Drosophila melanogaster: one gene and its partners. The gene in region 1 interacts genetically with each later gene. Each region holds a gene or a part of one and is shown on either strand. Other genes may lie near its edges.

Region 1 (7,278 bases):
CTCGCCTTTTTTAAAGGGTTTTATCTTTGGCGTCTTACAGATTTTTTCAAAATTTCTATTAATTTTTAATATTAATATTGTATGATATTTGTTAGTAATATCTATTGTTTTTAAATCTTTTTAGTTGTTGAATTTTAAGTAATTTTTCAATTTATTACTTTGGAACTTAACTTTTTTTTTAGTTTAGTTTAGTTTTTAGGTTTAAGTTCGTTACCGATTTTAGAGCTCCTTTTAAGCCCTTTTTTGTCAGTGCATCGAAGTTTATTTCTCGCTGTTCTTCCCGCTTGTTGTATTTCTTTTTTTTCTTGTGCAGGCGCTTCGCAGGCTCCATCTTGTCTTGCCGTCCCTTTCCAGCTTCCTTGATCTTTCCAGACAGTCCGTCGTCGGCTTTTGATTCGTGGGCACAGTGGGACGGTGGCGGGGGCGGCGGTTTGGGATTGGGTACAGTGGGGCGGGGGCAGCAGAGACGTGGGAATCTGAACCCCAGATATCTATGTATAGTTGTTGCTTTTTTTCTTTTGCTGGTTTTTGTTATTTTTTTTGTAAGAGGTACATAGGTGACTCAAAGATCGCTAGTCCTTTCCCTTTCCCACTTCATCTTACCATACCGCACGCGCAAATTGATGCTCAACAACAACACCATATATTTGATTTGTTTTATGTCATTTTTTCTATTTTTATTTTCATAAATTTGCATACACACGCAAGCGAAGCAGCCCACTGTCTCCGACAAAAAAAAATCACGCACACACAGAACCACACACGCATGCAAATAGCGAAAGAGAGCGAGGTGTCTGCGGCAGTGTGTGTGTGTGTTTCATTCATGAATCCAGATTTTGCCGAGGCAGGAGAACAGAAGAAGCAGAGTAAGCTGGTAACGAAGCAGAGGCAGCATTTCGGTTTGTCATTTGCAACAAGTGCGGAGAGGTTCTCTTGTACACATATTGTTGCTGCACTTATTGCATGCCCTTTTAGTTCTTTTTCGTTGCATTGTTTTATTTTTTCAATTTTTCTAAGCTTAGACAGAACGGCGGCAACGTCGACAGAAATAAGCTAAAGCTATATGGTATATATGCACCCACGGCCATAACAACGAGTAAAAAAAAAACCAAGATAGTTGGAAACCTCTGTGTTCGTCTGGCTCTATGTGTGTGTAAAAATATAAAAAATGCAGCAATGCATTCAACAGTTGATTCAAGAGAGAGCAAAAGGAAGAGAGAGAGCGGGCGGTTTGGTTGGCGAGAGAGCGGCGCTCAACAAGTTCGTTCGACGATCTGTTGCGCGGTTTCTACGGATGTGTGTGTGTATGCTGACGGGGGACGTGGGCACAGGGGTGTGGGTCAAAAGGGGTGGGGGGCTCTGGCCGATGTGGAAGGGGTATGGGGGAGGGCGGCGTGTGGAGTGGCAGTGCCAGAATGTCTGGCAGCCACGACTCTGGCGCACACACGCACACCATTCAAAGGTGCCTTTTGCACACGTGTGTGTGCGTGTGTGTATCTGTATGAGCAACTGGCAGAGCCAGCGAATTTGTAGCGCAGCCAGAAACAACAACACAACGCAACACGGCAACAGCAACCGCAGCCGCTAACAAACTGTGCTGCGACACAGTGGCACAAAAAGCTGCCAGCAAAGGGTTAAGTGTGGGCCTACTAATACATGTAAAAAACTAATTTTTGTAAACAGAATTTAAAAATGGTTTCCAAGTAGTGCGAACATTTGTCGACTTTGGGTTTATGTTTAAAACAATAATCTGTTGTTGGCAGATAGCTAACAATGTTTTAGAGATAGAAGAATTTGAAACGCGTTTCACTTATTGACTCGATGGCCTATAAATTGATAAAGGGTTTTTTAATTATTAAAGAAGAAGAAAATGTGTTATATTATCTCGCTGTTAAAAATGTTATCTTTTGATTTGTTCTATTCCATGTTTTTAGGTATCATATAATATTTTTTTTATTTTTTATATAAAAAAAAGCCATACGAATTGGTCCCACTGTGCGGTTCGCGGTGTTTGTCAGTTAGTCAGTCAGTCGGGTGACTGTGGCAATCGAAAAGAGTGGACAAAGACTGTGGCGCACAGGGACGGGGGAATGGGTTGCTCCGTCCCATGTTGTCCATTCGGTCCCACCGTGCACACAACTCAGCACAGCACGGCACAGCAGCAACAAAAGCGCCGCAAAAGGGAACTGGTATTATGGCATCCCGCTCGCACTTGCACTCCAAGCACGCACACATGCAAGCGCAGACACCTCGCGACACGATTGTCGTCAGTTTGTCTGCAATGCTCAGCTTCAGCGCCATGCGCTCTCTCTCTGTTGCTCGCTCTCTAGCTCCCCCTCTCACTCTCTCTCCCACTGCTGCACGCACACGAACACCCACACGAACAGCAGCAACAACAACAGCAGCGCACAGCAGACAGGCAGGCACTTTACGCCTGTGTGCGTGAGCATTTCAGAGTGAACCGCAGTCGACGGCGGCGCCGGCAGCGACGCCGGCCGAGGCGAGGCAGTCTAGAACGTATCTTCGAACTAGAACGCCGAGGGCAGAACAATTGTGTTTTGGATTCCTTGCCGTGCGGATCGCAAACGCGAGTTATGAGAAGAGCGTAGTAAAACGTACGAGAAGTAGCTAACAAGAAAAGGAAAAGAGCAGAAGAAGCAACAGCACGCAGACATATATTTTTTTTAACTGTGTTTTATTTATCCGATCTATACCAATCGAAATATACACAACTATATAGATTTGAAACGGATTTTGAAAAGTGCTTTCAAATAAACTCCAAAAAGTATCAGAGCGAGTGTGTGCCAGTGTGTGTATGTGAGACGCGTCGCAGTCGACGTCGCTGCTTTGGGGACAGAGCTGCCAGATCGCGAGTTATGAAAGCGCAAGCGTCGCACGCAAGTAGCAACAACAGCTACAACAAAAGCACCTAAAACTTACTACCTACTACTACTGCAAAACACACTTGTTTGACTATTATTTCGCTACATTAAAATCAACAAAAATACACACAAAACTGACCAGAATCTTGGGAAAATAAAAACAATCTTTAAAGAACGCCACGAAAATAAACCATAATCATGGATAGCAGCAGCGAACAGTTGAACGGATCGGGAGCTTTGAATTTCAAGCGGCCCAAGGATTCTTCGGAGAATGCCACAAACAGCCACACAAATAATGGCAATTCTTCGGGCAGCCCCAAAATGGGAAGTCGTCGGATTTTCACGCCCCACTTTAAGCTGCAAGTCCTCGAATCATACAGGAATGATAATGATTGCAAGGGCAATCAACGGGCCACGGCCAGGAAATACAACATTCACCGCCGGCAAATCCAAAAATGGTTGCAATGCGAGTCAAATTTGCGATCATCGGTGGCCAACAATCAGCAACAGCAGCAGCAGCAGCAACAGCAACAGCAGCAACAACAGCAGCAGCAGCAACTACTCCCACAGCAATCGGTATCGCCGACACCGGCGGTCAAGGTGTTCCATCAGCTGAGCCATCCGCTGGTGCACCAGTTGCATCACCATCACGCCGCCGCGGTGGGTCATCATCATCATCATGCCGCCCACCATCATGCCGCCCATCATCATCACGCTGCAGCAGCAGCGGCGGCAGCAGCAGCGGCAGCAGCAGCAGCAGCAGCCCACCATCATGCCGCCCACCATTTGCTGGCAGCCAATGGCATGGTTCCACACCCCCTGGCCGCCCATCCCCACTTGCATGTCCCGGTGGCAATGCATCCTCAAATGCAGCATCAGAAGGAGCAACAGCAGCAGCAGCAGCAGTTGCAGCAGGAGCAGCAGCAACAGGATCAGCAGCAGTCACAGCAGGAGACACCTGCAACCATTGCTACCAATGGCAGCAATCAGGGATCCTCGAATGTCCTTTCGGCGGCCAAAATAGCCGCTGTTGTTGCCGCCGCCATGGCCACCAGCAATGGCAATCCCACACCGACAGCAACAATCCCCGCCAGCAGCAGCAGCAGCAGCAACACATTGCCGAGCAGCAATAACAGTAGTTGCCACAACAGCAGCAGCAGCAGCAATAGCTGCAACAGCAACCAAGTGCCAATACAAGTGCCAATCCTGAGCGGATCCCCTGGGTCCACATCGTCAGCCAGTCACATTCCACATGTGCCCTTTGCCTACCATCACAATCTGCATGGCTATTTGGAGAATCGACTGGAGGCGGTTGCCACACCAGCCCCCATGGACCTCTCTCTCGGATCCTCTGCCCGCCGTCAAATGCAGTTGCACGAAAAGGATCCATCTGGTGTGGATCTCACTTTCCGCAAACGTAAGGTCATCACTAGTCCGATGCAGCCGGATAAGATTAGTAAGCTGGAGGAGGTGATCAAGAAGGAGCCCGAAACGGAAACGGAGAACGAGGATGTGGAGGTGGACGTGGAGACGGAGCAGCCGGAGGAGCACAAGCTGCCCTCTAAACAGGTCAAGCTATTTAAGCCCTATTTGCTGGACGATGATGAGGAGCAGGATCATCATCATCATCACCATCACCATCGGCAGGAGGATTTGGATGAGGGAGCTGCCGAGGAGGAGCAGGACGACGAGGAAGAGTCCCGCTATGCCGACGATGATGAGGTGGACTCCAAGGAGGCGGCCGACAAGAAACAGCGTCGCCTCAAGAAAAAGCCATCGGCAATCAACGAACAAAGGGAACCCATCATCTGGAGCAACCATCCGTATCCCGGTGGCTGTGTATCGCCCGGCAGTTCGATCACCAGCAGCTTTCAGTGCCCCACCAGTATGCAACAGCAGCAGACATTTCCCGTCGCCGGCGGGAGTCCTAATCAGCAATTTCAGGACAACTGCAGCTCCAGCAAAGCCACCACGCCCCTCAGCCCATTCTCGGCGCCCGCCCTCTCGCCCACCGGCTTCTGTTGCCCCAAAGGATCGCCCGTTTCCGGTTACGAGAGCAGCTCATCCACCTACAGCGACAGCGGCAGCAACTACAGCCTCAATCTCCAGCTGCATGCCGTCTACAACGACAATCTGATGTACATGCAACAGCAGCAGCAGCAGCAGCAACAGCAGCATCACCTGCAACATCAGCAGCACCTGCAGCGCTGGCTGGATCAGGAGTCCTTGGCCACTGCGAGGACATCATCCGTCAACCGACCACTGATTCTCGTGGCGGATACTGCGCCCACAAACCTGACCCTGGTGGCCTAAGAACACACACACACACACACACACACACACACACAACAAACAACACACACAATAGAAACTAAGGAAGCAGCAATCCCACCAATCGGATGTTATAATGGCAGTCACTGGGCCTGGCCTTTTAGTTCCCTAAGCCATATTTAAGCTTAATAACGTTTTTTTTAGCCCTACCACCTAAGTTTACCTTAATAAAAAATTGTATATCTAAGCGCAAACATATATCTTCCAAGCATATCAGCAAAAAAAACCCCAAACCCTAGGTATAAACCCTTCTTTTTTTTTTGGTTACACACTAAGAACAAATTAAGCTTAAGTTCAGATTTTTCTTTTTTTTTTTCTTGTATTAGCTTGTGTAAATAATTGTGTACAAAAAGTGAAACAAGGCGAAACAATTGAATTTGCTTAAGAATTTCAACGCTTCATTTCATTTGTATAACTTGTGGGAGAGTATTTTAAGAGAGAAAATGTGAAAAATGCAACTGGAAAAACTGAGAAAATTGTTAAGAGTAAAGCTTTAAAAACGAAACAAATACACACCTTTACAATACACACTTTTTTTATTTGGAAATTGAAAATTGAAAATTCTTGTGATATGACAACAACAAAACAAAATTTTAATAAAATTGTTGAAAACTGAAGCTTATTGAATATACAGCTATATTATACATAAATATATATTTACAAACACAAAAGAGAGCAAGAAATTTAACGTAATATTAAGGGTTACATTTAAAAGTTAATTATAATGATATACAATATACATATATACAATATATTTATATACAAACAAGAGGAGAACGTTTTTTTTTTTTTTTCATTGCCAAGGGAAATATTAAATGCGCCTATACATAGAGAAAGAGATATATATATCTAAATGTATGTATATATATAAAATCAGTATTTTTATATATTACATTTGACAACAACAATAATAATAATAATAATTGTGTGACCATACAACAAACAAACAACAAAATCAAAAGGAAAACGAATTGATTAAATTAACAACAGAAAACTAAAAAAACTTTAAATTAAACTGGTTTTATCATTGCATTTGCGTTGGGTTTCGAATGAAGTCATTGCTTTTCAGATGACTGCAAATATTTCAGGGATCTATCTATAAGATCTTTTTTGGTTTCTGGGTTCAAAAAAAAAAAAAATCAATATCAATACACCCCCGCCGCATCAATTGGGATAATCTAGATTCGAGAAAAATCGACCTGCCTTTAGCTCCGCAATTCTTCTTAGCTGTCAGTGTGAGGTTAAGGCCCCATTTATAGAACCGATCGCCGTTTGATCTTTGCGATCATACCGAATGTGCCATTCAAATGTGTGTGCGTTATTTGCGTGCCTCATTGTGACAACTCATGGGTTGTCAGTCAGTCAGTCAGTCAGTCACTCAAGTCAGGGCATAGCTTAAGGCTTTGGGGCTTTCCATTTCGAGTGCCTGTGCCACGCCCCCTGCCCCCCCCCCCCCCCATCCCCTACGCACAGACTAGACCACCCACCGCCCTCCGCGAGCTACTCGGTTTCTGGTCAAATTCGCTTGGCACATTTCAACGGCGGGGTATGACTAAGCCGCAAATTCTATAATGATCGTATTTTTAAAACGTTTAAAAATAAAGTGCTCTCGTTTGCCAATGTGTGCGCCAATCACGAGCCCCGAGCCGCAGCATTCAGCACCACTGCGATCCACAGCCACATCCACATCAGCATTAGCATCAGCATCAGCATCAGCACCACCGCAACTGCCACAGACGGCAGCTATCGTATCGTATCGTATCGGATCGGATCGGATTGGATCGGTTTGGGGGATCGGTTCTTGAGACAGAGCGGCATACTCATTGTTTTTCACTTGACGCGCTTTCCCTTCTGCAGAGCAAAAGGCAAATCCGAGCGATCGCTGCCAAAGAATTTTTGCGACATTTGCGGACAAAATAGACCCCACGGGATACCCACTAGTCATGCACAAGGCGAAAAATATTCCACTACTTTATGAAAAGTAATATTCATAGACACTAGCTGCCATTAAATGAACAAGGTATACTCTCTTGTATACCATAATGTTCTTATCACTTAGCCAACA
Region 2 (8,474 bases), on another chromosome or scaffold:
GAGGATGTGCCACTCAGATCCACTGATTCCCGTGGCGGCGACGATGTCTCCATCTGGCGAGAGACGGGCGATCGCTCACCTTCCATTCCATTGCATGGCGTCTGTGGAGGATTAAATGTATTTCTCTTATTCTTCGGCCTTTCCCGGGTAACGGAATGCCCTCGTAGAGCTCCAACACATACTCACTGGCATGGTCGGCGAGCTTGAGTTGCTGAACGAGAAGCGCGAATCGTTGTCCTCATAATCAGCCGCCTTGCTGACTCTGAAAATTAATTTAAGTATTATAAAATAATGTTTAGCTTGTATACGTATATATATATAAATACATTATATATTAATATAAAATATATTAAGCTAATTTTAAGTTTTGACCTTATACTCACGAGAACTTGGCAATTTCCGACAGATCAAATGGCGGCTTGGCAAACTTTTGGTACATGGCGAACAGATTGTAGCGCGAATCCTCGACAGCTTCCTTTATTTTTGGGTTGGATTTATCAACAAGATCGGGGATTAGAGACTCTCAATCGCATTTCAATGGAACCAAATGGAAGCTAAGCGAGGCAAGAGGCAGTTGCGTGGAAAGAGTTTTTTTGTAGGCCAAGGAAGAAGACACGTGGATCGTTGGTTTTGGCAATTTTGTAGGATTTATTTATTGACTCGTAAGTGGGAAAAGGTACAAGAATATATTGCAAAACGACTACTGACTAAATAACTTGGGTTTATATCTAATAAGATTCAATTGTAATGGGTTAGTGATTAAATTATAAAGGATTAAAGCATAGGTTAATCTAATAAACTTTCAAGCAACAAATACTAGCAACTCAACAGTAAAAACTACAAAAAACACAACCATTTACGAATATATATTAGTTCATGCTAATAAAGCTAGACGATAAGGATTAAAGAATTAAATACATTAGTGATTTAGTTATTTTCAAAGGTCTTTAAGACCAAATTGACTACACAGACTATATGGGTTATAGTCAGTTTTTTAACTACAAGATTAGAAGTAAGATTTATCAAGTCTAGTTCAAAAATACTGTAGTGTGAACTTGGATCCCTCTCCACAGGTCGGGATATTCTGAGAAGAACCTCTCGACTAGGATTAGTAATTGTGTTCTGGCGTTCGCGAAAGCTGCAAGGCAAATTGTTGGGTTATCAGGGAGCACCTCCGTCCGGAGGACTCTGAAGCGAAGCTGAAGCACTGCACCGGGCACCGGACCTATAGCTCTACGGTATCTAGCTTCCTTACCCGATTCAAGTCGAGCGGCAGCTGCGCAGCCTCCGTAGAGGAGAGTCGCTGTCGCTTGGAGGGCACGGCGGCGTCACTGGACTCGCAGTCCGTGTCGCCAGGAGCCCGTCCTCCGCCCAATCCCGCTCCCTGCGACGGCAGCTGGGTGAGCAGACCACCGTACCGGGCAATGCTGGCCGAGTGGCCGAACCCGGCATCCTTGACAATCTGCCGTGCCAGGGGGAACAGCTCATCCCGGCGGGTCAGCAGCCAGATGGTCTGGGGATTCCGACACAGCTGGGCCGCCGCCTCATTGACGCACACCTCGTGCAAGGTCAGCGGCTTCTCCGGCCGCCTTTTGCAATCGAAACGGCCGTAGATGGCCGAGTACTTACGGATCTCGTCCATGCGCCGCGGATCCTGTTCCCCCATGGCGATAACCTGCTCCAGTTCCCGGGTGGTTCGCTTCCTGGTGGTCTGGGCGCGCGGTTCCCTCTGGGGCAGTTGCCTGCCAATCTTATCAGCACACATGGTTATCCGCTGGATCTGCGCTTCGGTCAGAACAGGTGTGAGCTGGGGCGAACTGGAGGAGACCTGGTGGGCGGTGTTCGCCGGAAGGTTACTGTTCGCCGAGGGATGCGGACTGCTGGTCAGCGGGTTGGGGGGCAGTACCAGCGGCAAGGGCACCGAAGGAGCTGAGGGACAGCTGATCTGGGTAGCCAAGGGGACAGTGGGAGCGGGAACCGAGGCGGAAGCGGGCAGTGGAGCTGGGGGAACCGGCGAGGGCATAAAGGAGGAACCCGAGGGATTGAACGAGGGAAATTTCTGGCGGGGCAGAGCGGGCGTGGTGTCCGGATTGAAGATCAATGCCGGTTTCGGTGGCGTTTCGCAGAGACCTGCAAGTAACAAGGTATTAGCAAAAGTGTTTTACAGAGGCGGAAATTCATCAAATCAACTAAATATTGTAAAAGTCTCATTTTCCTTATATCATATTTCTTAAACTTACCCAGATGCGGCATCATGGGTCCCTGGAAGAGACCCGGATTGTTGGCCCACTCGTGCAGCGCCTTCTGCAGCCGGCGGACGTGAAGTGGCTTGGAAGCCATGCCGACCAGGGCCATGATCTCGAGGAACTCCTCCTCGCCGGCGTCGTACAACTGCTGCACATCATCACCGCCCATTTCCAGCAGGGTGTCGTAGTAGGCCAACAGACTGGCCCTCTGGAGTACCCGGTACAGCTGCACCTCCGCCTCGTTGCCCGGTCGCGATGTGGTGATCACTGGAAGATACAAGCAAACGTATGCATAAGAAACTGGCTTGAAGAAGTTCCAGCAAAAAATGATATTTATTAAGTTCTGGCCTGCGACGTTCTCACAATGCTACGCGCCTATAAGAAAAAAATTTTAATTAAATTCGCTTTTTCTTACCCAAAAAAAAAAAAAAACTCGACGGACGTCTGGACCCTAACCCTTTTTTCGTAGAGGCTGAGCAGAGCAAAAAAAAAAAACTCGAAAGCACACAAAAAGGATGAGGCAAGAGCTGGGAACCAACTCATCTGCATAAGCATGGTGGTTCAACCCCTTCTGAAAGACCAAGGATGCGATACGATCCGCTTTGAGTCGGCAAACTCGTTAGAAATGCGTCACGCATGCGCAAGATGCCAGCAAGGATTGCCAGGATCATCATTTAAATCTAACCTATTCTCTCTTTTTTTTTGTTTGCTTTTATCACTTTCAATTTTTGGCTCAAAATAGGTAAATTTTCATGGGTATATGGGATGGCATCGTGTGAAATATATATGTACATACATATAAAGTCGTACCTACACTCAAGTTCATAGGAAACCATCCTGACTAGCCAGCGATTTATTGCTCATACTAATGAATCCCCCGATCGAGGAGACTGTAACTGTTATGGCAGCACAGCTCTAAATGGACGACGCCGATGACGAGGATGATGATTATGTCAAATCGTAAATAATTATGTGAGAATATTTCAGGCGGCGACAACGTCTGCAGCCAGCTTTAATTAATAGAAAAACGAGCTGGTCGGCTAAATTATAACAAACTCAGGGCAGAAAAAGCTGCCTACATCGATTGCCATCCTCCGATTCCACTCGCTCTGTTTTTTTTTTTGTGGTTTGTATTCAGTTGCCTTGGCCAACTGGAAGCCACAAGCGCATCCACCGACGTGCAACACCAAGGATGCGCACTTCGCGCCATTAACCCACGCTCCGCTCCATGGGGTTGTTGCGATTTATGGCCAGGCAGCAAGAATAATTCGCATTCTTAGCCGCTTAATTGGGTATATCATAAATAGTTTGGAAACTAAAATATCAGACCAGTTGCGTCCACTTGAAAGCTGTGATCAACTGAGCTGAACTGGACTGAAATTAGTGTCGACTTTGAAAGTGCTTATAAATGTACGCTAAATCCAGCAAACTAGTAGCTAAGTGACAAGGTTATTAAAACTAGTTAATGAGAGGGTTATAATAGACACATTTGGCCAGTTTTAGTGAAAGTTTATGATCTATATATCTCTATATACATATAATATATTTAAAATGAAAAGATACATATGAGTAATGCTTTTCTGAAAGCTTTCTTAAGATTTTCAATTGATCTTGAAATTGAAAAAAAAACCTAGAGTGACCGCTGAAGGGTTAAGAGCGTGGCCACACTTCTGGTCTATTCCATCACTTGCCACCGCCCGCTCCCTGATCCTAACTTGGGTATTTAACGCAGACCTGCGTAAGTCGGGAGTCTGGTGGAGCAAACGGAGAGGGGCAGCCGGTGGTAGCAATAAATAAATGAGACGTGATTTCAATACACAAATAATGTGAATGGTGGGGGGAACGGGGGGGATATGGCGAAGCGGGAGGCTGGGAAGGCGGAGAACTGGGGACACTTTGTTGTGGCTGCTCCAGCTCCTCTGCTTCTGCGGATTGTTGCTGATTTTTTATTTATTTAATTTGCGGGTTTGGTTTTCTTTTTTTTTTTTGCTTGCTTTCATTTTTTTTACCCACTGCGTAAGAGCCGATGCTGCGGCTGCTGTTGTTGTTGTCATTTGCTAAATATGCTGTTTTTATGCGAACGGCAAATGGTGAAGATGGACAAAAAATTAACTGCAGTAACTTTTTAGTTGGCACTTGGCAGCAATAATGACATTCGACGCCACATACCAAGCAGCTGCCCAAGCAGCCAGGAGCAGAAAACGGAAAACCGCGAGCAGCCAGCAGGATAGGCACTTAGAAAAAAAGTGTGGTTGATTCTGATAAGATGTGATAATTGTTTCTAATGGAAATTATAATTATATATATTTCATACAAGGCGTCTCTGAGCATTAAGTTAAGTATGTACCTCGCTCATGCCTATATTATTTGTATTATTTTGACACACTTTTCTCACAGTGCATTTAGAAAATGCGTTATAGTGCATGTGTGTGTGTGTGTGAGCGGTCTGTGTGTGCGTGTGGAGCGGAGCAGTCAATCGTGCGATCGCTTCGATTATGGGCAAAAAGTAGACGCCGGACTTTGCAGACTTTGACTTGGAGAGTTGGACCTGGAATCGGAACCTGGAACCTGGAACCTGGGACTTGGGACTGGGACCAGGGTCTGAATCCTCCTCCTCCTCCTCCATTCGATCCTCCCTTTCTGCTTGGCATCGGCAATGGGCAAGTAACCGAAACTATTTCTCATATACAACGATAAATTAAAAGCCAACTTTTTCAACGACCAAATTCTTGTCGATCAAAATTCCATTGGTGGCAATAACGTGGACCGTACGTGCCAATGGCCAATGGCCCCGGCAGAGGAACCATAACCATAACCTGCACAGGAAAAGAATAATGTCTGTCCAAAATATTAAGTGCATTATTTTCGGGGTCATTACGATCTTAATCTTGCCAATTTGAGGGTTTTAATAGGACCTGTTTCGCCATGTCCATTGTACTTGTATAAATCTAAATAAAAGATACACTGGATACTCATTGGAAATGCTATGTTATATTAAGTGATACCAACTAGATAATATAAGTTGATTGAATCACTAAGAACTGGATATATATATGTTTTTTTCTCTGTGTGACGACATCTTTTCTTTCGGCGCTTGAGCATTTTTTCCAACGAGAACGCGTCTCGTTGGTTGCCTCCCCTTCCGCCAACTGAGATTTATTGAAATATTTTACTACCCTCATCGCTTGGGGTGAGTTTTTTCCGTTTCCTTACAACGTTTTTTCATATCACCCCTAAGACGCGACCTATCATCATGAGGTTCATCTAACGGCTGCCTAGGAAAAGGCATCTTACCTGGGTCTGGCATGGATCCTATTGGATGAAGTCTGCCATTGCTGCCTTAAGAAATCCTAGACCTTGAGCAAATATGCAAAGTAAGACACCCCAAGCAATCGAGCACCGAGGAAATGAAAACCGGAACAGGGTCCGCTATTTTTTAAGAAATTAAATTATTACCCAGCAAAGGTAACTTTCAGCTTCCTTTGTTAATAGACGGAGGTCCTTGAAGGACAGGGACAAGCTCCTTCGGTTTTCCGTTACATAACATCGCCAGACAATGGAAGCTCGCGAAAAGAGCGCGAAAATTGCAGCATGTGGCTGGATGAGGATTCCTTTGTCAAAGGATTCGTTGCGGTCGAAGGATCAGGATTGGACACAATAACATTTATACAAATGAAGACATCTGCATGAGCCAATGACGAAAGGATGTGCATGGCTTTCGGAGATAATTAGAACCTGTATCAGCAAATTTTTTTTGGTATTTTTAACGACAAAAACTATATTCAATTACCATCAACATAAACCATTTTGAAAGCCTTTAGAACGCAAAGAAATTAACTGACAGAAAATAGTTTATAATTATGAAAACAGGCATCCTTCACAAAGAATTTCTATTAGAAACTTTTAATTTGTTTCAAAACAATTAGTTCCCTTTCTACAATTGTACTTTGATTACCAAAGTTTATTTTTTAAGTGAGAGCATAGAAAACCTTTTACTTCTATCCACAACTGTACTGTGTTCACTAGTGTAACACAGCACAGTAATATCCTTGGAAATCCTTTTCACCATATTACAGCATCAGTTAATAATAAACTACTTACTTGTTCCATTCGCATTCCTTCCAAAGATCTTGCCCTGCGGACTCATAATGGGACTGGAGGAGGCCGACGGAGCGCCCGAGAGCGATCTCTGTCCCTCGGATAGTCCGCTGGCTACGGACAGATTGTACAGATCCTCCGTCTTGGGCATTTCCAGACTGGTGGTCAGCAGCTGTGACTGTGTGGCGGAGGCGGATGCAGATGCTGTTGCGGATTGGCTGTGTCCTTTGCTGCTGGTGCTGGCAGCTGGCGATGGACTGGATGTGGATGTGGTGGTGGCCACCGCCGTCGTGGGTGTTGTGGGATTCGAGCTCGCCTCCATTGCGATAAAACACGTTGGCAAACGATGACGGATTAAATTAACGCGATTGGCACGAAAGGCGATCAAATACCAGGCACAAACACAAAGAACCAGGACGAAATGCATGCAAACTAGGATCTAGGATCAGGGATCGAGGATCGGAAGAGTACTACAGGCTACGATTAACTACACTAGATAAGTATATAAGACTCTTTAGGGAGAGTTAAACAGAAGATTGTAACGGCAGTAACGAAACTCGCGCCACTTTCAGTCTCTCTAATCTCTGCGATCCGCTCAGCTCGAGGCCAGACGAACTTCTGTGCACGAATCCCAGAACGGACATCTGAGGAACCCTTTTGGAACCGGCCGACGACAACGAAGCCAACGAAGCCACCCGAAGTCCACCCGAGTGCCGGGCGCTTTCGTTTTCTATCAGCCGGGGCAAAAAAAAAAAAAAGGGTTAAAATCAGGGATAAAAACAAAACCAAACAAATTGTTCGGAGGGTTAGGAACGTAGGACATTGGTTTCCAGATTTGAGGGTTACTTTTTATCTGCCGATGCTCAAGATTCTCTTAGAGAACAATCATTCTCTCTCTCTTTTCGCAATTGAGCGACATTGAGTGAGTTTTTGTGCTCCGCCTCTTGAGAAGCACTCAAAGATTCGGAATGCCGGAGAGACTTTCCAAAAGATCCTTTTAATGTTTTTTTGGTGAAGAATTCCGTTAAATCTGTTGGGAATATTCAAATTTCAGCAAAAAAAAAATAGGTTGTATAAGATTGCATAACCCTTTTCCCATGTCAAATGAATCATTATGCAACTGCATTTTTTCGTACTAGAAAAGAAAAATCTGCTCTCCTTTGCCGCCAAAATTCGAAAATATTTAAATATCTTTAGGAAAAATATATATTTGAAATTTTGTAAGCAGTTTCTTGTGGAAAACGAAGAAACAGCTTATTGTAAAATATGATCATATATTTAAAAAATTAATTAAACCAAACCCTTTTTACCCAACCAAATCCATACTCAAATGTTTATATAACTGAAGATTTTTTGTATTTATTTTGTATATACAAAAACATTTTACCATAGGGCGTTATCAAATAGGGGAATACTTTTAAAGATTGCCGTCTACGCTACCGATAATCATAATAGTTAATATAGTTGCTTTCTGGATTTGGAGTCATTAGAGTTAGGTTTAGGTATGAATAGATTACACTAGGATGGAGTTACGTTAGCAGTCGAAGAGCGGGAACCCCTGGAAACAATCGTAGGCTACACCAGGCTAGTCGTCAGTCCTGGAAATCGCCACAAGAGCGGGGTTCCTCCCGCACATGGTGTCAGTGTGTCCTTTGCGAGATTCCTCACTATAAGTTATTCACGCTGATGATCTGGTTGATCCAGCCGATGAACGAGGACGTCTTCACATAGACGCCGGGCACATCCTGTCGCCCGCAGCCGAATCCCCAGGAGACGAGGCCGGCCAGCTCGTAGAACCCATCATCTTGGCAAACTAGTGGACCACCTCCATCGCCCTGGCAGGCATCGTGTCCCTCCTCTCCGCCGGCACAGAAACTGGAGGCGGGCAGGATGAAGATCTTCTCCGTCACGGCGTTCACCTTCCGTATGCACTCCGTATCGCTCACAATGGGAATCTCCGCCTCACGCACTCGCAGGGGAATGGGACCAGCTTAAAAGATGACCAAAAGTTAGAAGCTATCAAAGTAATCATAAGGATCTAGTCGCTACCTTCACCCATATATCCGTATCCGGTCACCGTGCATCGCTTGCCCGCCGCATGGCTGACTCCTCGTGCAGGAAGACACACCA
Region 3 (8,695 bases), on another chromosome or scaffold:
CAATATCCGTGTAAAAATACTGTAACAAAAATCAGGAAACGCAATAAAAGGAAACAAAGATCGAAATGAAATAATTCAGAAAGTTCTGTTCTGTATCAGATTTTTATATTTTGTCTGAGGAAGTGGCGATTACGAGCTGATCCCCTACGAGTAAGTGCAGTACATACGTATTTTGCTTTACGTTTTGTACGAGTACGAGTATCTGGATGTCTATGAATAAATTCGATGGTGAGAGGTCGCTTGCGATGTGGTAGCATCCTCCTCTTTGGTGTACTTACCGAAATAATGAATGAAAAAATAGAACAGTTGTGGAGGATATCCAAAGGATATCGAAAATGGTGTTGTACGGAATGCGGAGTAATGCGAAGTAATTGGGATATTTTGAATTGTGTGTATATTTTTGCACTTCTGCAACTTGTTGTATTTTATTCACAATAATTAACTTTTTAAAAAAGAGAATTGCTAACGCTAGATTAAAATTCACTAAACAAACTATAATCGAACATAATCATAAACATAACCGACTTTAGACTACAACTTATCGAGGGCTCGAAATAATAATAATACAAGAACATGAATAAAGCAGTGGGTGAAATCATTTCTTCATCAAGTATGTATAGGCTAATTATACACATATAATGATAGGCATAGGTGTAGGTGTAGGTATAGGTATAGGTTAGCATAATATAATATAATGCTCGGGGCAAAACATTAACAAAATCGATAATTACACAACACAACTAAACTTAGACTTAATATCAGGATCAAGCGGCGTCGATACACATGAAAATATATGTATGCATATGTACGATTACTATATGTACTATGTGTATGTTATATAAGTAGCTGTTACGGTATGCTAATTACTCCTCCCCGACATCTCCCCTCCATCGTTTTCACACTCGCTTACTTCTGTTAAGTGTGTATCTTTTAAGTTTTTGTTGCTTTAGCTTTACGAGTAGTTTTGTTAAGTGTTTTCCTTGGTTTAAGAGTTAATTTAATTCGAAAGCGACTTCAACTATGGGGTAAACATGCACACACTCATTGAAATTTTTGCAACTTACAATTAACCATTTGCTAAAATCGAATCCGAGTTCATATTATACAAATATTGAATATCTCTGCGTGTACGCAATATACATATACATATATCTGATGTAATTTAGTTATCGAGTGCTCGCTTCGGCCGGAAATCAGCGCAATGTCTTAGTTTATATACAGGAACTTAGAAGGTATCAAAGGACACGACACGACGAACATTATACGACAAAATTTATCCTAGACTGCGGAGTGTGTCTTCTTGTTTGCGGAGCTGTGAGGGGTCCGAAAATTGTTAAACAATTTCAATTTGTGTTTCAAGAACATTTATCTGGGTCTAAAATGTGTTCTGCTGCTCAGCCTAACTCAGCCGCCTTGTGGCCGCTCTTAATTGGATAGGTATGGTAAAATCTACTACTCGAACGCGTGTATTCATAATTTATGCGGGGTTATATTCACTGACGTTTAAGTATATTCATATTCATAATTTATAGTTCGGAAAATTCATAGTGCTCGCCTAGGCTAATGAGAGCGTTGAGAGAAATACGTACATACATATATTTTCGTACAGTTGCGAATTTCAAGTGCATCTGCTACTGCTGCTGCTTACTCTTCATCTTACTCGTATCTATATTCAACTACCGAACTAAGCTGCATTATCGTGTTGGGGCTTGGATCTCTGGGATCCGTAGAACTGACTTAATAATAAACTGCATTTGCATCAACGTCGGTTGGTCACACATCAGCGACGCCTGCGCACTTCTGGGCAGTTGCTCATCCACATCCTTGCTCCTCATTGTGGTCACATATTCCTATCCCGCATGCTAGAGATCTCTGGTTTTTGTACATTTAACCGACTGAACTCGGCCTGGCTGGAATCGCCCTTCCAATCGCTGGACTAGCATGGAAAGTCCATGGCCAGCTCGTTCTTGATTAGATGATGGTGATTCGGATCGGACATGGGGTTGGGATTCGAGCTGGGGTTACCCGAACTCGGATTGGCTAACTGCTAGTAGGTGGCAAAGCCCATGGCGCCAGCGCTGCTGTTGTCCAAGGGTCACTGGTGCATCTTGGCGGCATGGTGACCCATGTTCAGGCTAAGGTTCAGGTGGTGGCCGCTGTGGTGCTGCTGGGTCGCCTGCGCGTGGTTGTGGTTGCTGCTCGAATTGTTGTTGTTGTTCTGCTGATTGGCCTGGCGCTGTGAGTTCTTCTTGTTCTTCATGCGCCGATTCTGGAACCATATCTTGACCTGAAAGGAACGCCTGTTTAATGAATTCAGTTCAAGTCAGTAGGTTTATGGACTCACCTGTCGCTCGGTCAGCTGCAAATTTCTGGCCAATTCCCAGCGCTTTTGCTTGGAAACATACGCATTGAAAAGAAACTCCTTCTCCAGCTCCAGGGTCTGGAACTTCGAGTACGGCTTGCGCTTTTTCCGGACGGACACCTGACCGGTCCACTCGTGCAGTCCGGGATTGGGCGTGCAAGGACCCACTGCTCCCACGGATAATCCACCAGAGGCTCCTGAAAACATCATCAAGTAATGGGGTTAAACTACATGGTTAACTTCATTAAACCGCAAGTGCGGGTGGTCCGATGGTTTTGTTGCTCGGTGTTCGGTGCAATATCAGATCGTTAAGTTTATAGAGCAATTACGGAAATTGTTTAGCAATAAGCGTAATACGAAATTATTCAATTCCTCATTTATGGCCTCTTAATTGGTGCGGTACGGGGAGCGGAGCTCCGAATTGGCATGAGGCCCATATTCACACTCGAGTGGATAACACTAAATGAATACATTCGTTCCCGCTCATTGGCCGACCAAATGAAGCAATTAAATTAATGTTGAAATAAAGTGACAAGTTGGATTTATTTTAATTTAAACGCTAGTTCAGCACGAGTGAAGAGCTTTTCGAATCTAATCTGATTTCTTCGATTAGTCTTGGTAGCATTGAACAGTTAGGACAGTTAGGTCAGATTGGAAATTAATTATCGAGCCTAAGAGACCTGAATTCCAATTGTAAAATTGGCTGGCGAGGTCACTTAACTGACATATTCCGCCATAATAACGAGTCTTTACTATGGATACCATGGATACTACTGGGAAAATATGACTAGTCGACAGATACAATTCTGGCAGTTGAAAAACACCTGGTGATAAGACACGAACATAAACAGGCAACCCCATAGAATGCAAACCCCAATGACTTTCGCACCCACATAAAGGCGTAACGCTAGCCAAATAGCGAGTATCGATTTATGGGCCGTTTTGCACTACGCTAATTGAACGACAAACTTGACGGTTTCGCAATTTGCTATTTCAACCGATACGACGACGAAAAGTCTAGTGCACATAGGAAAATCAAATAATCTTGAACTTTATATTGTAGGATGCTTAATATTTTAGGGCTGTTTAAATAATTGGCTTGGCTTTTAGGAAAAAAAATAATAGCACCATATAAAAAACACTTCCAAATAATTATCGATTCATTGGAAAATTTGACGGTCTATAAATATATATTTTACAATTAAAAACATTTAGGTGGAATTTGAACGCCTCTTTTTAAACAGAATTTTGAATTCGTATAATTTTTCACTTTAATTTAATTTCATATGAATAACCAAATATTTTATTAAAAATTTTAAGAATTGTAAACAGTAAATTTTTAATTTTTAATCTTTAAAATTTCTCCTCCCAAACTAGAGTTGCAAGATGCTCAAAATTATTTCCAGTGTGCCTAACCTCGTTACCCTTAAGTGTGCCGACTCTGGCCGGTCTGGACTCACCTGAGCTGGAGTAGTTCTCGCTGGGATAGCCGCGCAGGCCGCCTGGCGAGGAGTAGGTGGGCGGCTCATAGCTGGACGTCGATGTGCCCTCGACGGACTGTCGGGCGGCGGCGCTCACGTGGCGCTCCGCTTCGTTCATGTAGGCCGCCGCCGCTGCGGCAGAGGTGGTCTGATCGGGGCGGTAGTTGGGGCCCCAGTACTGCTGCGGGGGAGAAATGAGGTCGGGTTGGAACGAAGTTGCTTACAACTGATGTGGAGGCGTGGGTGGCGCTGTGGCCATACTTACACCAACCGGAAACTGCGTTTCTGGGTAAGGATAGGCGAACATGTGCTTGCGGTCGTAGTACCCGGAGCCGTAATGCTGATTGAATCCCTCGTCGTTGTAGGCCCAGTGTGCCGTGTGCCGCTTGACCGCCGCCGAGGTGTCCGTCTCGAATCCCGGACCGGCCCGGATGGCGGGTATATGCAGTGGCGCTAATTGTATGGACATATTGATGTCTGAAAGTAAACGATAAGCGCAGATTTGCTGCTGTTAATATTGGCACTAGGGCTGGTAAGTCTAATTTTAACGACTGTCTATGATCAAATCGACCTCCTTGATCATTTGGCATTTTATCACTTGGCGTGGCATTTGTGCCTATAACCCTTAGATTGTTTGTCGATGTCATGGATGTGGGTGCATTCACACCTCGTCTATATATAAATCTGTATATTTAACACGTGTCAACACTTAAGGTAATAAAATGGTTACCATAACGATTACGTTTCAAATCATCGTTTAATTTTTTTTTTTGTGTAAACTCTTTAAAAAAAAACCAATGCAGTTTTGAAGAACTTCAGTACACTCACAAACAATATTTTTAAAAATTTTTAATTTCCTTACAAAATTAAAGTTGTTACCACCCTGCAATTATATAGTCTATAATGATAAAACAGACGCAAATATTTTGAGTAAATAAATTAAATGCGTGACGATTCCTGGGAGAGTTAAAGAAAAGCCTTATCAGCCTTGAAAAACGTGCTGCAATCAGCACAACTGAAACGTTATTGCAACTGGGGGGAAAAAAAAACAAGTGGAACGACCCCGTTCCCAATTTAACGTCCCCAATTTATTTCGAGAGTTTTCCAGTTCAGATGTAGAAAATTTCAAAAAATATATTTCCCAACGATCTTTGAAAGCCCATAACCAATGGAGTTCCAATAAGAAATCCGCTGGTTTTCAACCCCAAGGAAAGTTATATTTCTGGGACCTCACCTTCCTTCTGAGAACTAACACTGGAGGGAGAAACACTCGCCGTGGTCGGCGCAACGATCTGCGTCTGGCCAGGAGCAACTGCAGCATTCTGCTGTTGCTGCTGCTGCTGGAGATTCGAGGAGGCGCCGCTGGCGACACTGTTCGGGGTTTGTTGCTGCGGCAGTTGCTGGTGGTGGGGCGATGTGAGATGTTGCTGTTGTTGGGCGGAGGGTCCAGTGGGTGTTTGGGCAGGACTGAGGGCGCCGGCCACCGGTGTTGTCGCCAGCTGTTGTTGCTGCTGTTGCTGCTGCTGTTGAAGTTGCTGCTGCTGCTGCGGAGCGGGGAGGTGTTGCTGCTGTACGGCGACAAGTGGCACAGGCGGAGGATCCTCGTACATAACCGCATGCGTGGGCGTGGAATGTGTGGTGGGAGTTGACTGCTGTTGCTGCTGCTGGAGCACCGAGGAGGGTGAGGAGGCGACGACTGCATGTTGCTGCTGCTGTTGCTGCTGCTGCAGGTGGGGATGCGCGCTGTGGTGATGGCTGGTGGTGTGGAGAGGCTGAGGCAGGTGGTGGTGCGCATGGTGATGCAGTTGCTGCAGATGCTGCTGCTGCTCCTGCAGATGCTGCTGCTCCTGCTGCTGCTGCTGCTGTTGCTGCTGCTGCAGATGGTGCTGCTGCATGACGGGCAGGGAGGGATGCGCCTGGGGATGCGGATGCGGGTGCGGGGCGGTGGGTACGTGGGTGTGGGTGTGTGTGTGATGCCCCCACCACGCCCCGGCAGCGGCGTGCGACCCGACTGCCGAGACATCGTGGGGGTCGTAGAGAGCGCACGCCAGCGGGATGGTTGGGGTTTGGGGGAGGGGTGGAATATTTACGGTTATCTTGGACGCGTTGCACTCGAACTGCGGCGGCGAGGATAAAGGCGGTGCAGTGGGGTCGATCGCCTCGACCCACCGACCTTTCTCTGTCTTTTTTTTCTCACTCCTCTGAGTGACGCCTTTCTAATTGTTTAAGTCTCTTTATATTTTTTTCGCGACTTAATAATTTTTATTTTTAATATTCAGAGCACCTTTACTCGAGTTTTGCCCCTTTTATTTGCGTACCGCACACGCACACAAACGTCCGTCAGCGGTCACACGCACACGCCGACTTACTCACACACGCACACTGCCTAAAGAGCGGGCGAAGAGAGTAACTTTGTTGTTGCACAGGGGATCGAATCAGCTTGAATTTCACAGGGTGCTTGCGGTCGTCAGCAACTCACGCAGTATTTTCAAATTGGCTTTTTTCAGTTTTCATTCGGTCAATCCAATTTTCCAAAACTTTTCCAATTTTTCCTTTGTCAGTTAATGTTTTCTTTTCACTTTTCTTTTTTTTTCGGTTGGCGTTTGTTTTTGATTTTCTTCTCTCTTTTATAATTATCATAAATAGTTTATTATTTGTGGGGCCTGCAGTCGTTGTTGTTGCTGCTGCTGGCGTTCGCTTTTTATGTTGCTGGTCATAAAATTTGATTTTACGACCAAAACAAACAATTAAAGGCAATGTTTGCAACAGTTAACAAAAATGTTATTATTTCTCCTCACAACGCCGGCGACACGATGTTTTGATTGTGTTTTTTGTTTTTTGATTTAATTTTTTATACGACTCCAAAAACGTTTCTTCTTTCAGTTAAATTTTTCGAAAATGTTCAACTTGTATTTTTCGAACCGTTCGAACGAAACACTCCCAGTCGAATGTGAATGTGAATGGACGGCGAGTACGAAATCGTTCAAGTCCCAGTCCTCGACGAAGTTGCAGGGCCGCTTGCCTCGGCTGTTGTTGTAGTTGCTGTTGTTGCTGCTGGACGCCCGCGCGCCTTCCAACCGAACAGAGCGAAGCACAAATCTACACTGACGGCAGCAACGCGCACGGCGACAACATATCCACATCGCTGGCACGGCACACCGACAACACAAGACCAAGACCAGAACCAGAACCAGCACACGAACACAAACTCTAAGCGCAGCGGCGCCAGCCCGCTCCAGTGTGTGTGTGTGTGTGTGTGTGTGTGTGTGTGTGTGTGCCTCCCCGTCCGTGTGACTTGGAAGAGAGCGCGGACATGCGCATGTTGCACAAGCACTCAGATTGATGGTGGTGGTGGTTGATGTTATGTTGATGGCAGTTGGTGCGGCTCTCTTGTGGCGCGTTATGCACACGTACACTGTATACAGCGTCTGTGTGGATCCCAGACTGTCAGCGAGTGTGCGTGTGTAAGTGGGGGGAGCCGAAGAGAGTTTTGGATGTTGCTGGGGGAAATAGCACTGTTTCAACTAGCGCCTTCAATGAGGTAAAGATGGTATCGCACTTCGACTGGGACTGGCTCTGGAATTCGCTGAGCTCAGCAGGTGCTCCAAGTCACAGGGGGTCATCGAGGGCGAAACACACACGCACAGTGTACGTGTGAAGGCATCCGCTCTTCAACGAACAAAAAACGCTCTCAGACTCACCGCCCGCTCTTACTGCCCGATTCTGGGGGCTGATTTGAATACTTAACACGCGCGCACCACAGCGCCATCTATGTCCGAGATTTCGATGGAATGGGGGCGGGGAGGCGTGGTAGATGGCACCACATTGTGTGTAGTTAGTTGGCTTGTTGTTGGCGCTTTTTATCGATTACCACAACAGCAGCAACATACAGAAAAACTCACTGCATAAAGACCATGGATCGCGACCAATTATACGAGTCGTCAAGCGCAGTGACTAATTAATGCTAATTAGTTAAACAAATACATGCGTGCGCCAGTTCAGTCAGCAAATTATGACAGCCCAATTGTTAGGAAACCCCGGGTCTCTTTTCACCCCTATCTCAACATCCTTTCTCCCTTTTGGCTCTTCTACAGATTCCCCTCCTTGTCTCACTTCCAAAGGCAGTTGCCAAATTTTACGCTGCAATGGACAATTATGGGAATTTTATGGCAATTGCCATTGGAAGAAAAGCAAAAGGCACGCAGTCGAGGCCAAGGAAATGTTAACAAATCGTAAAAAGGATGCGATGAGAACAACTCTCAACCCGTTTGACAACAAAATGTATGTACAATCGCATAAAAATCCATACTTAGCAATTACAATAATACATTTGAGCAGGGGCTTAAGAAAATGTCAGAAGTCATCGCGACTGGAGACGAATAATATTATTTCTTATGTGAAATCAGAACATTCATTTTTAATTTTTCACATCACGCATTTAGTTGAAGAGTCCAACTGCTTACATAACAAAGTTGATCAAGTAAACCCCAAAAAAACTTCAAGAATTCTACTTATAATAATACAAAACTTGTAATTAACTGCCGCAATCTATTTCCAAAAATAACTTCTTCGATTGAAATTATTATTCAACTTTTTTATTTATAAATAGAAATAAAGTATGATTGACATTTTTCCTATTGAACCACTCTGCTAACACGCAGAATTATTTTAAAGGGATAAACTCTCTGCACAATAGCATTTTATAATTATTAGTAGCATTTTAACGCCTTAATATTACATATTTAAATACATATCTGGCTTAAACCGGACTAATTATAATTTTAGCTTACCTGTGGGATGGGAACTGACGCTGGAGGGAGAAATGCTCGCCGCTGTCGGCGCAACGAGGTGG

Evidence for each region. Genes that interact genetically often act in the same process or in processes that back each other up.
Region 2: of brk (region 1) and nab, changing one suppresses a phenotype caused by changing the other (phenotypic suppression), as found in Drosophila melanogaster (one study listed by BioGRID).
Region 3: of brk (region 1) and Abd-B, changing one suppresses a phenotype caused by changing the other (phenotypic suppression), as found in Drosophila melanogaster (one study listed by BioGRID).

What each region holds. Positions count from the first base shown.
Region 1 is NC_004354.4:7,305,393-7,312,670, forward strand, and holds brk (brinker), read left to right. Parts: upstream 1-2,546; 5' UTR 2,547-3,080; coding exon 3,081-5,195; 3' UTR 5,196-5,740; downstream 5,741-7,278.
Region 2 is NT_037436.4:4,153,984-4,162,457, forward strand, and holds the start of nab (nab), read right to left. Parts: upstream 6,950-8,474; 5' UTR 6,667-6,949; coding exon 6,348-6,666; intron 2,514-6,347; coding exon 2,241-2,513; intron 2,131-2,240; coding exon 1,256-2,130; intron 476-1,255; coding exon 384-475; intron 263-383; coding exon 187-262; coding exon of another isoform or gene 127-186; exon of another isoform or gene 102-126; coding exon 1-101. Other genes in the region: mas (masquerade), read right to left, coding at 8,012-8,334, 8,394-8,474. UniProt on the Drosophila melanogaster protein: Transcriptional regulator that can both act as a coactivator or a corepressor depending on the context. Lacks DNA-binding domains and acts by associating with other transcription factors such as rotund (rn) and squeeze (sqz).
Region 3 is NT_033777.3:16,927,294-16,935,988, forward strand, and holds the start of Abd-B (abdominal B), read right to left. Parts: upstream 6,950-8,695; 5' UTR 5,739-6,949; coding exon 5,078-5,738; intron 4,321-5,077; coding exon 4,109-4,320; intron 4,025-4,108; coding exon 3,823-4,024; intron 2,560-3,822; coding exon 2,345-2,559; intron 2,288-2,344; coding exon 2,096-2,287; coding exon of another isoform or gene 1,937-2,095; 3' UTR 1-1,936. UniProt on the Drosophila melanogaster protein: Sequence-specific transcription factor which is part of a developmental regulatory system that provides cells with specific positional identities on the anterior-posterior axis.